4 linked regions of the Saccharomyces cerevisiae S288C genome follow. The protein of the gene in region 2 binds, or shares a complex with, the protein of the main gene of each other region. Each region holds a gene or a part of one and is shown on either strand. Other genes may lie near its edges. The genes, in order: MRP20, MRPL40, MRPL16 and MRPL51.

Evidence for each region.
Region 1: MRPL40 (region 2) and MRP20 share a complex: the UniProt entries of both Saccharomyces cerevisiae proteins name them as parts of the mitochondrial large ribosomal subunit.
Region 3: MRPL40 (region 2) and MRPL16 share a complex: the UniProt entries of both Saccharomyces cerevisiae proteins name them as parts of the mitochondrial large ribosomal subunit.
Region 4: MRPL40 (region 2) and MRPL51 share a complex: the UniProt entries of both Saccharomyces cerevisiae proteins name them as parts of the mitochondrial large ribosomal subunit.

The regions. Positions count from the first base shown.
Region 1 is NC_001136.10:1,275,613-1,278,946, forward strand, and holds MRP20 (mitochondrial 54S ribosomal protein uL23m MRP20), read left to right. Parts: upstream 1-2,033; coding exon 2,034-2,825; downstream 2,826-3,334. Other genes in the region: DIT1 (Dit1p), read left to right, coding at 1-600; DNA-directed RNA polymerase II subunit RPB7, read right to left, coding at 1,042-1,557. UniProt on the Saccharomyces cerevisiae protein: Component of the mitochondrial ribosome (mitoribosome), a dedicated translation machinery responsible for the synthesis of mitochondrial genome-encoded proteins, including at least some of the essential transmembrane subunits of the mitochondrial respiratory chain.
Region 2 is NC_001148.4:221,537-224,536, reverse strand, and holds MRPL40 (mitochondrial 54S ribosomal protein uL24m MRPL40), read right to left. Parts: upstream 1,395-3,000; coding exon 501-1,394; downstream 1-500. Other genes in the region: COX10 (protoheme IX farnesyltransferase), read left to right, coding at 1-184; NIP100 (Nip100p), read left to right, coding at 1,764-3,000. UniProt on the Saccharomyces cerevisiae protein: Component of the mitochondrial ribosome (mitoribosome), a dedicated translation machinery responsible for the synthesis of mitochondrial genome-encoded proteins, including at least some of the essential transmembrane subunits of the mitochondrial respiratory chain.
Region 3 is NC_001134.8:144,532-147,394, reverse strand, and holds MRPL16 (mitochondrial 54S ribosomal protein uL16m MRPL16), read right to left. Parts: upstream 1,209-2,863; coding exon 510-1,208; downstream 1-509. Other genes in the region: APL3 (Apl3p), read right to left, coding at 1-186; CTP synthase URA7, read left to right, coding at 1,667-2,863. UniProt on the Saccharomyces cerevisiae protein: Component of the mitochondrial ribosome (mitoribosome), a dedicated translation machinery responsible for the synthesis of mitochondrial genome-encoded proteins, including at least some of the essential transmembrane subunits of the mitochondrial respiratory chain.
Region 4 is NC_001148.4:728,030-730,733, reverse strand, and holds MRPL51 (mitochondrial 54S ribosomal protein mL43 MRPL51), read right to left. Parts: upstream 944-2,704; coding exon 521-943; downstream 1-520. Other genes in the region: SNT309 (Snt309p), read right to left, coding at 1-242; YPR099C (uncharacterized protein), read left to right, coding at 621-977; TMH18 (Tmh18p), read left to right, coding at 1,206-1,252, 1,349-1,787; LEC1 (Lec1p), read right to left, coding at 2,119-2,704. UniProt on the Saccharomyces cerevisiae protein: Component of the mitochondrial ribosome (mitoribosome), a dedicated translation machinery responsible for the synthesis of mitochondrial genome-encoded proteins, including at least some of the essential transmembrane subunits of the mitochondrial respiratory chain.

The sequences.
Region 1 (3,334 bases), on a different chromosome or scaffold from region 2:
ACAGGAACTCAAATCTGTCCTAAGTCCGATTTGTCGAGACAGATTTTGATGAAAGGCTGTGATACAGATGCAGGTCGTTTGAGAAAGCAGATTGCAATAGAAGGACATCCAAGATTGCATCTGTATAGGGGCTTTTCACGTTTTATGATGGAAGATTTATCTCTACTGGAACATTTCCAAAGTTATTCCAGAAAAAAATTCAAGAAAATCATTTCAATGATCGCTTTTAACATGATTAAGAGAAATGACGCGTATTCGAACTTAGTGGAATTGATATTCCCTCATCATTTGAGAATTTCTATTCATGCGCACACTAACAGCGGGCCCAAATTTGGTATAAAAGTAATCTCCAACGAACAGTGTTCTATTGTTAGTTCGTTAGAAGACCTTGATGAACCCAAATTTGAAGATTTTTTACATATTCCCACACCTTGGCATAATTGTGTCGTGAAGGTTGAGGATGAAAAGGAGAAATACTTTTTGACAAAATCAAAAGTAGTCAAGGAGGCTCTCGAAAAGGGTATGTATGATGGTGTATGGAAAGATACTCGTTTCGATATTGGAGAAGGAGGACATTTCGTTATCAAGAAAATCTCTTAATAAAGTAAGAGCGCTACATTGGTCTACCTTTTTGTTCTTTTACTTAAACATTAGTTAGTTCGTTTTCTTTTTCTCATTTTTTTATGTTTCCCCCCCAAAGTTCTGATTTTATAATATTTTATTTCACACAATTCCATTTAACAGAGGGGGAATAGATTCTTTAGCTTAGAAAATTAGTGATCAATATATATTTGCCTTTCTTTTCATCTTTTCAGTGATATTAATGGTTTCGAGACACTGCAATGGCCCTAGTTGTCTAAGAGGATAGATGTTACTGTCAAAGATGATATTTTGAATTTCAATTGACGTAATTAATGATACTATTAATAATACAGAGCGTATATGAAGTATTGCAAATAACATGCACAGTTCTTTTGGGATGAGAATGATAATGAAAGGCGAAGGCGGGCGTTCAGAAAAGCGTTGCGGAGTAACAAGTGATTAAATAGCACCCAAATAATCTTCTTTGATACTACCGATTGCGTGAATAGAACTCACTTGACTGATACAACCTTCAATTTTAACTCTAATTCTACTTTTTATGGTGATGACATCCTCGGAACTTTGGTATGATGGTGGGTTTGAACCCGCATTAAAGGTTAAATCTTGAGGCATCAGATGCTTTGTCACAAATACTTTCATTGGACCTACTTGCACTTCGAACCCGTGCTGAGAACATGAAACGACTGTGCCGTCCACTACTTCCCCTTTAAATGGTTTGAAAACTACAGCTCTATATTTCACGTTGAACTCGGCGGACCCATCTGTGGGCAATATTCTCCCACGTTGAATATCTATATTATCATAGTCTAGGACACAAAGAATATATCCGAATTTACCCGTACACGAACCTTCAACCTCTTCCAATAGTTTTGTCTTTAGATATTGCTTCATTCGAGGACCGAAAAAGGACGGATGAAGGGTAATATTAAGCGAAAGGTCTTTAATAAAAAACATTCTCAGAAATTGAGTTATTTATACAGTGGTTGAAATGTGAATCTATTCTTGGACTTTCCCACTGTCTAATCGCAAAGGAGAATGGTGTAGGAGGAGAAACGGAAAAAGAAAGGCTATGATATTCTGGGAGAAGAGATAGGTGGACAGACCTGATCGACCCAATGTTAGAGAATAAATCGACGAAGTGAGCTTGTCTACGTTATTGGCATTTTCACTGGGATATAGGAATACCGCATTTATTTTCCTTGTATTTTTCAAAATAGCCGTTGAAACCCACAGAAGATCACTTAATACGTAATCGCGTTATACGAATTTTCTCGATGAAAAAGGGAAAACGATGGTATTAGAACTTGAAATGTACATACATTTCTTGTGGAGAACGTAACGCTACTAACAAATAATGTGCTTTGATTAGCAGGCTCCAACAGAAAAAAAAATAAAATAAAAATAAAAAGTACGCAACACCAACACAGAATATGCCACGATTGACGGTTGGAACGAAGAATATGTTGTATCCTTTGCAAAAAACACTTGCAGTAGGAAGTTGCAAGCCAGAGCAGGTTCCAATAAGATCACTAGCCTCAGTGGTGGAGAGTTCCTCCAAAATACTCGACAAAAGCGGCAGCGATCGCGAAGTAGATATAAACGTAAGCGAGAAGATTTATAAGTGGACAAAGGCGGGCATAGAGCAGGGAAAGGAGCATTTCAAAGTTGGAGGTAACAAAGTCTACTTTCCCAAGGCCAGGATCATCCTCTTGAGGCCCAACGCGAAGCACACACCGTATCAAGCAAAATTCATCGTCCCAAAATCGTTCAACAAACTGGATCTCAGAGACTATCTTTATCATATCTACGGCTTAAGAGCAATGAACATTACGACGCAGCTGCTTCATGGGAAGTTTAACCGTATGAACCTACAGACGACGCGGTTTAGAGAACCGCAGATCAAGAAAATGACTATCGAGATGGAAGAACCCTTCATTTGGCCCGAAGAACCCCGTCCGGACGAAAACTCCTTCTGGGACAGCACCACGCCTGACAACATGGAAAAGTACCGTGAAGAAAGACTTAACTGCTTGGGCTCAGACGCCAACAAACCCGGCACAGCATTCGACGGAGTCGTGGGGCCTTACGAACGGGTGGCCCAGCCTTTTATACCTCGCTTCTTAAAACGAGAGATAGACAATAAGCGAGAGCGTCACGCCGCCGAACTGCAGCGCGCAGATAAACTAATTGCCCTGAACAGGTACATAGAAGATCTACATTAGAAGGTTTCCCATTCCACCCCTTCGTTAACCCACACGCAAATACCCAGATAAGCATCTTGCACCCCTCACACTTGTATATACGGAGCAAACTACATAATCTCTAAACAGAAAAAAAAAAAAAGAAAGAAAATTAAGAACATTACTTTTTCCGAGCAACAAACGCAAAAATATATGAAGTGGCTGTAGAACATGCCTTACGGAAGAAAAGAATGATGATGGCATCCCCTTCCCCTGCCCTGGAAGGTGGCCTGTATTTCTGTTCTTTTTTTATTTTTGTTCGCGCAAAGAGCAAGAACATTGGTTGCTTTACTTATTATTTTCAGGGTCGCTTCCGCGGGATGCCATGCACGGATGCCTGCGGAGACAGTGGCGCGGAGCCGTCCGCATGCTCGTTCCGCGGAGAGTCTCGAGCGGGTCCGCGAGGGGCGGATCTGCAACGCACGGTGCCGGGGTTAAGGTATGGCACGATGGTAAGACGATGAGGGAAAAGAATACTGCTACTGCTGTGC
Region 2 (3,000 bases):
AACATTAAAAGATAACGTCAAGTTTAATAAAGGTCTAAGTGTAGCCAACATTTATGCAAGGAAAACTTTTATGGCTAGTGTATTGCACCTACCGGCAATTCTAATCCTAGCCATTATACATAAAAAAGGCCGCTGGGATTGGATATATCCTGGTGAAGCAAAGCGACCACAGGAACGATTTTAGCATTAGTACAATGAGATAAAGAGACAACGCTTAAAGGGCAGTCATTAATCTTGTAAATAAATATTTAAACCCTTTTATTGGTTAAAAATAATGTACATACGCACATAATTTATTTTTAAAGAAAAGATTTTGTAATTTGAAGTCATCACGTTTGCCCACATCAATATCTGAATATTCTTTGAACTTTACTTTATGCTTTCATATATACAGGTCGAATATAACTTATTTACTACGTGAATAGTGAAGGGGATATACTGATTAAAAAAATCACACTAGAGAATCAAATATAAAAATAGAGTGCATACACTTGGTACATTTATTCTCTTTTTTGTTTTTCCAAAAATTCAAAAACCCTCGCCCCAATAGCTTCCATGTCCTCTTCAGTTAGTTTTGGTACTTCTCTCTCAGCCAACTCCTTTTTTTCTGCCAAATGGCTTTTTCTTACCTCTGTTAGGGGCATCTCAGGTGCTACTAGCTTAGCTATATCTTTCGCTGTCAAGGTACCCCTTTTGTACTTAGAATGAGGATTGCGAATACTTGGTATTGCCTTTTTTGGAATAGGGTTTCTCACTACGGAATCGACCCAAAATGTTTGTTCTCTAGCAATTACAGGATCGGTAGCCAAGTTCGTTTGCACATCAATTGGGTCTGGTTTAGGCCATGGAATGATCAAGTCTGGTTGACCCTTTACGCATCTATATGGCATTACCTTTTTGTAGTCTGCATCATAGTAGGAACCATTGAAGGAAACATCCCTTACTGCCACCGTTCTTGTCTTTCCTGGGGTCTTTTCATCGTCAATATCAGCAACTAGCCTTAAATCCTTTCCCAAAATTGAAACTGGAATTGTTATCATGTGAGATGTTTGGCCTTCAAGCCAGAATTGTTTAGGAACTGGAACAGTCTTTGTGGGCCCATTCTCATCTAATATGAATGAATTTGTTCTTTTATCGAAAGATTTAATTACAGCTATATTTCCTTTGGAAGCCCCGCTCATTACTACTACTCTGTCGCCAGGTATAAACTTCCATTCTTTTTCACTCTTGAAACTAGTTTTCTCATCTACTTCCTTTAAATCTGACTTCATGAACTCAGGCGTAGATTTTTTAATGAACTTTTCACTATGAGGAAGAAAGTTTTTGGGTCGATTCCCCAATCTTTTCATAACACGCGATCCAACGTTTGATAAATGTTGATAGCTTCCAGACATGATGGATTACAAATTTTGTTGCTGATAATGTTCTTTACGGTGGATTACTCTTATCAGGTAATCCTTAAGTAGCTGTTAAAGAGCAGTAGGTACTTTTGAATCTAACATGTCGTTATTTTTCATGTCGCTTTTCAACCGGGTATTTTACAATGCTTAACAAAAAATGCATATATGTTGAAAAGTCACTTATGTAAACGTACAGTTGTAAGGTGCTTTCTTTTTACTCTAACCTCCACACTGAGATTGTTGGCGTAACTGTAGAGAGTTACTCATATGCTGCTAGACTTTATGTTGTACTTTACTTTTGCAAAGTACATAATACTATTCTAGATTCGATCTCCATCAACCTCGCAGTACAGCCTTGGACAAATGCGCAATGCAGGTGTTCAAGTTGACACAAATATGCAGAAGATAAGCTTACAGGACACAGTTCTAGTCAACGAGATGAAGGGGCGGGTGAAATTCATTGGGGAAACTCAATTTGCAAAAGGCATATGGTACGGCATTGAACTAGATAAACCGTTAGGAAAGAATGATGGAAGCGCTAACGGTATTCGTTACTTTGATATCGACCTGAAGAAAGCTAATTCAAATGGTGGTTATTATGGTCTTTTCTGCAAGAAAGATACGTTGCAGTTTTATAAACCAGATGACGATGAGCATAGTTTGCTAAATGGTAATGCAGCGCAAGAAACAATTAAGAATCTACAAGTAAAATGTGAATCATTGGCGTCCAAATTAAATAAAATTAAAATAGAAAATCATGAGCTGAAAACTTCCGTTGAAAAGCTGAGTACTAATGAAACTGTTCTATTGTCTAAAATCTCAAGATTGGATAAACTAGTCAAAGAACTGAAAGTGGAAAATGGTAATATGAAAACTCATTTGGATAATTTCAATCACCTATTAGATGCTTCAGATAGTGTAATGGCACCGGATCTCGACAAAGGCACACTGTTAGAAAGGAGCCATCTTCTTCAGGGACTACTCGACCAAACAAAGTTGTCATATGATAAAGCTATGAAGGTGCAAGAGGACCTGCTCGAGGAGAATACTCAGTTATTAGAAGAAAATGCAGTATTATCTAAAAAAATATCGGATTTAGGTCTGCAATTGCAACAGACTAATAATACAATCGGCGACCTTGCCTTGCAGATTGAAGCTCAAAGTAAATCATCTAATATTGTTGATAAATTGACTAATGATAATATCCTACTCACAAGTAATATAAAGGCTTTAAACAATGAGTTGGAGGAACTACAGGCAAAAGAAAAATTGGATGAAAATTTAAGAATTACCTATGAGCAACTCGAGCAAGAACTGAGACTGCAATTAAGTAATTTGCAATCTGCATTGGAAAATGAAAAGGAGATAGCAGGCACATATATCGAAGAAAATTCAAGATTAAAAGCAACATTGGAATCTATTGAAGCCAAAACATCTCACAAATTTCAAAGTCTTGAACTAAAAGTGAACACTTTACAGGAGGAATTATATCAAAATAAATTGCTAAAGAAATTTTACCAAATATATGAGCCATTTGCACAACCACATTTGGCGGCTCTTTCCTCTCAATTGCAATATTTAGCCGAAGTAATCGAAAGTG
Region 3 (2,863 bases), on a different chromosome or scaffold from region 2:
ATTGCCTTGTTTTTTCTTTGCAGCATCGAAATGCTGTTTAATTTTGACAATTTCAGATTGTATTCTCTTTTCCTGCTCTTGTGCTTGTTGTGCAGAACGAAGATCTGCAATGAATAACTGTAGGCCCTTGATGGTACTGTTATTATTAGAAACACTTGAGTTTATAAGTGTTTTTTTGCGATCCATGGCTTATAAGATTAGTACTATAATAAAGGTTGCGAAATTGGAAACTCGATTGACTAGCAAATTCCAACTGTAACGTTCCTAGTGCTTCTTTGACCCTCAAATATTTCTCAGTGTTTATACCTCAGCTGGATCAAACAAGTGTTTTTTCACGTCGTCATGTGTTTCTTCAGCGCTCACTCCGGGGAAAAACTCCTATTCTTCCGCAGAGAGTATACAGTGCATACTAGAATTAATAAACTCATAGCCATGGCTAGATTACTTGATTGTGAATATCGATATTTTTCAATAGTTATATACATGTATACATGGTGTGTTCAATCCGTTCAACGTCCTCTGAAGAGTTTGTACTGTGGTTCTTGAGACTTTAAAATATTCAAATACTTCTTTGATGGCTTCTTTGCATTTTCATCGTAAAAATTCTTCACTGGGTCGTCTTTAGGATTTTTGAAACTATGTAATCCAACTCTAACCAGAGAATCCAAGGATACAAATTCATATACCCCAGGTAACTTGGTGCCTGCTTTTCTGAAGGCTTCCCGTGCGACTTTTTCATGCAAATCATCACCATTTATTTCGAAAAGGATCTTCCCTGTGGGTACCCTCACCATCCAGTGGTCAAACCCACCTTTACCTTTACCCATTCTTGTTTCGTTACCCTTGATACATACAGCAACGTTTGTACACAAACGCCTCCACAAATGACCATTGTTTAAAGGCCTGACATATCTCATAATTGCGTTATCTGCTTCCTTCAGCTGTTGCGCGGATATCCTAATACCTTCGCTTTTCAGTCGTAATCCGTACTTACCAAATTGCAAAGTGGATCCCTTTATTGAACCACCTGTACGAACTGGCACTCTACCTTTTTGCTTTTTCTGTACGATTTTGAAACGTGGGGCATATTCATGCTTGAATCTCCTAGCAATAGTGGTGTTATTTAAAAAAGCATTGGGGGAACTTTCTTTTAAAGTTAGCCCTCCCATCTTTATGGATAAATTCATTCTTGTTAAATAGGGGAACATGTTGCAAAATTCTATTCCTCTGTACCTCTGGTGAAAGGTAATCAACTTCCCGGCAATATGTACGCTCTACAAGTGGACTGTTAATTGGTAATAATTTCTTCCAAAGAAGTCTTCTTGTTATTTGAGCACCAATATGATATTATTATTTCCACCAGCATTCTTTCGTAATTAGTGATTCAACTGGATACAAAGCCTAGGGTTCTGTTCTTTGACCCTAAGTTTTAGAGTTAGGTTTCTCGTTATTGGTGATAACAAATTTTTTTTTTTTTTTTTTTTTTTTTTTTTTTCAAAATTTTTCACAGCTCATCTCATCGAGAGGAAAAGCATAGAATAAAATTTAGTTAAATGTTAAGTATTTTACAGTATTTGCCATTTTTCTGCCATTCTAAGGTCGAAAAAGTTTCAGGCAGTTTCTCAGTGAATTGGTCAATAGAACAAAAGAAACTTATAGACAGAAAATGAAGTACGTTGTTGTTTCAGGTGGTGTCATTTCGGGTATCGGTAAAGGTGTTCTTGCATCTTCAACTGGTATGCTAATGAAAACCCTCGGTTTAAAGGTTACGTCAATTAAAATTGACCCTTATATGAACATTGATGCAGGTACTATGTCTCCTTTGGAACATGGTGAATGTTTCGTGCTTGACGACGGTGGTGAAACAGATTTGGACTTGGGTAACTACGAGAGATACCTTGGAGTTACTTTGACTAAAGATCATAACATTACTACTGGTAAAATATACTCGCACGTTATTGCTAAGGAAAGAAAAGGTGACTATTTAGGCAAAACCGTGCAAATTGTCCCTCATTTGACCAACGCTATCCAAGATTGGATTGAGCGCGTGGCCAAAATTCCTGTAGATGACACCGGTATGGAACCAGATGTTTGTATCATTGAATTGGGTGGGACAGTTGGTGACATTGAAAGTGCTCCTTTTGTGGAGGCACTAAGACAATTCCAATTTAAAGTTGGAAAGGAAAATTTTGCCTTGATACACGTTTCTCTAGTTCCTGTCATCCACGGTGAACAAAAAACTAAGCCAACTCAAGCTGCCATCAAAGGTTTGAGGTCTCTTGGTTTAGTTCCAGATATGATCGCCTGTAGATGTAGTGAAACTTTGGATAAACCAACAATCGATAAGATTGCCATGTTTTGTCATGTGGGGCCTGAACAGGTGGTTAACGTTCACGATGTTAATTCTACTTATCACGTCCCATTGTTGCTACTGGAACAAAAGATGATTGATTACTTACACGCCAGATTAAAGTTAGATGAAATATCACTTACAGAAGAAGAAAAACAAAGAGGCCTGGAATTATTGTCTAAATGGAAGGCCACAACAGGTAACTTCGATGAATCCATGGAAACAGTGAAGATTGCTTTGGTTGGGAAATACACCAACTTGAAAGATTCTTATCTATCAGTGATAAAAGCATTGGAACATTCATCCATGAAGTGTCGTCGTAAGTTAGACATTAAATGGGTGGAAGCTACTGATTTGGAACCTGAAGCACAAGAAAGCAACAAAACTAAATTTCATGAAGCATGGAACATGGTCAGTACCGCAGACGGTATCTTAATCCCCGGTGGTTTTGGTGTTAGAGGTACTGAAGGTATGGTTTTGGCTGCTAGATGGGCTCGTGAAAATCACATTCCA
Region 4 (2,704 bases), 510 kb from region 2:
TCATTAAAATCCGGTGTTCGCCTTTTTTTGTTATTACGTTGTTTCAAGTATTCGGTGTACAATGCATTTGTAAGCGTAGAAACACTATTATCGGCCCCCTTTCTCTTCGCAAGTATACCTCGTATTTCGGGATGAACAGGCTCTCTTTTTATATTCGCAAATTCCTTCTTTACTAATTGATCTATTTCATTTTTGTAACCATCTGGTATTTTCCCTTTATCAACAAAGCTAAGGCCGTCCATCAAATCTAAACGTTGAATACCGTACGGTTGCTCTTTCAGATATCCTAGAAGTTACATCTTTTATATGTTTCAGTCTTATTCCATATTTATTAGACTAGTGTGATTTGCAGGGTGTAAAGCGGGTAACCAAATACAAGAGGTCATATTTCAGGACATGATCATATAACAATGGCAAAATTGACTTTAAATCTTAAATATCAGGAGTCTTATCTGCCCCAAATTATATATACAAGTATAATTATCTCTCTCTATTTCTAGAATTTTCTTATATACTAAAGCTAAATTCTATGCCTTTTCGCAGCATGCAGAGGCGACCATATACCCCTCACACTACTGTTCAAGCTTTCCACGTTATCATTCTTTGTTCTTCTGCGTAAAATGTCTCCATCAGAATCCTTCAATAGCTTTAGCTTGTTTTCTACATTGTCAATGTTCAAGTTTCTCACACAAATAACTTTTTCACGCCCATTTGTGTATTCTGCCCTCAACAAAGGATGTCCAGACTTCCTCATCACTTCAAACTGTATCCATGGGAACTCCTGGCCCCATTTATCTAATCTCTTTGAAGTCAAAAATTTCCTCATGCCTTCCGAAGACCCTCCCCAGTTACAGAATTGCAAAGTAATCTTTCTGCATGGAAACACGAATGCTCCAACTCCATTACGACCTATGGAATTTCGTGCAATAGCTTTCACAACCATTTCTCCATATATTCGTGTCTGTGTATCTACTTAGTCATGGTTTATGATAATCGTATTGATTGATCTTTTTTATCTCAGGGCTTATGATTTGTTGTAATTCTTATGAGCATCCCTCATCCGAAAAAGACGGAAAGCACCGTAACGTATAGTGCGATAAACTTACAGAAAAGAATAGTATTATTTAAGGGAGTTAAATGGAGTTGTTTGATGATATAGGCAGATCAAACTACGCTTTACAGTCCAGTAAACTTAACAACGAAAAATGTGTTTAGTCAAAACTACGGCTCATTTGCTTTTTTATTCCTTTGTGTATGTACAGATTAAGACACAAGAAAAAATTTGAACAATTATGATTAATTGAGAATAACTGACTAACAACTTTTATGTACCAACTTAATCTTTCAGATTTGGAGGAACGACGTTTTATTCCTATGTAGCTTCTCCAATCGCATTCAAAGTTCTTGAAAAAGACCAATTTTCTGCTTTGCAAAATAAGATCTTCCCGTATTTTTTCCAAATGCAAGCGGCATCACCTGTCATCCTGGCCCTTACCGCTCCAATTGCCTTGACAACAGGACCATTATCTTCTTTGGTGGTTGCATCTGTCAGTGGGCTAACCAATTTGTTTTGGTTGTTGCCCTGGACCCATAAAGTTAAAGAACAAAGAAAGAATATTGCGAAGAAATACACGGGTAGTGAATTGGAAGCAAAGGATGCTATATTACGTAAAGAATTTGGCAAGTCGCACGGATTGAGTCTTTTGTTCAATCTTTCTAATGTTTGCGGGATGCTTGCGTACGGTGTTTGTTTGTCAGGTGGTTTGTTAAGAAAAATTCCAAAATAATTATTTTACAAGTAAATATATATATGCAAGATCATTTTTTCGTCATTCCTTTGCCAAGGTGGAGATGAAGTTCGCAATCGGAATTTTTTGACCCTCAATTAAAGAATAAGGGACTCAGTTCTCTGCTATCCTGATCTTGGCTAAAAATAACTAAAAGGGGAATTGTGCTGTTTGTAGGATCTTAAAATAAAAGAGAACAATATTTATCTTGAAGTTTTTTCTATTTTTTTATTTCTACAAGCTTTTCTTATATATAGACCTAGCAATCCTATATTATTAAGCCGGAAAATCGTAACGAATAAAAACGAATAAAGGAGATACTAGAAAGGGCCTACTTTTTAGCAATTTGAGCTTCTAAATAATTTTTTAATTCCTGTGCGAAAACTTGAGATCTCAATTTATCAATTTCACTTTCATCAACAACAAGATTCAATAAATCTTTGTATTGCTTTTCTAATTCAACTTCATTCTCTTTATGTAAAAAATCGTAATCACCTGTATCGAGATCCAAATCCACCAAATCACCATCTCCAAGTCCAAAAGATCCAGAGCTGGATGGCATAACCAAGGAGTTTATGTCACTCCAATTCTTTTGAAGTATGCCAGCAGCGTGTTTGTTATTTTGTTTAGTACCTTGTTTAACCTTCAAATCTAACAACTTCTTATAGATTTTTCTCGCACCAATCTTTTTATTAAGAACATTATTAACTTGAACTTTCAAAAGTTTGACATCAATATCGATATCATCTCTACAAATTAACTTATTGAAGTCGATCCTTTCACTCGGTCCTCCGAATTTACTCTTTTGCAAAAATTTCACTATCGTAGTAATCCAAGTAATAAAACCTTCAAAAATGCCCTCTGAATCGTTCAAATATACATCATGAATAAACTCAAAAAAGGCATCTTGATGTTTG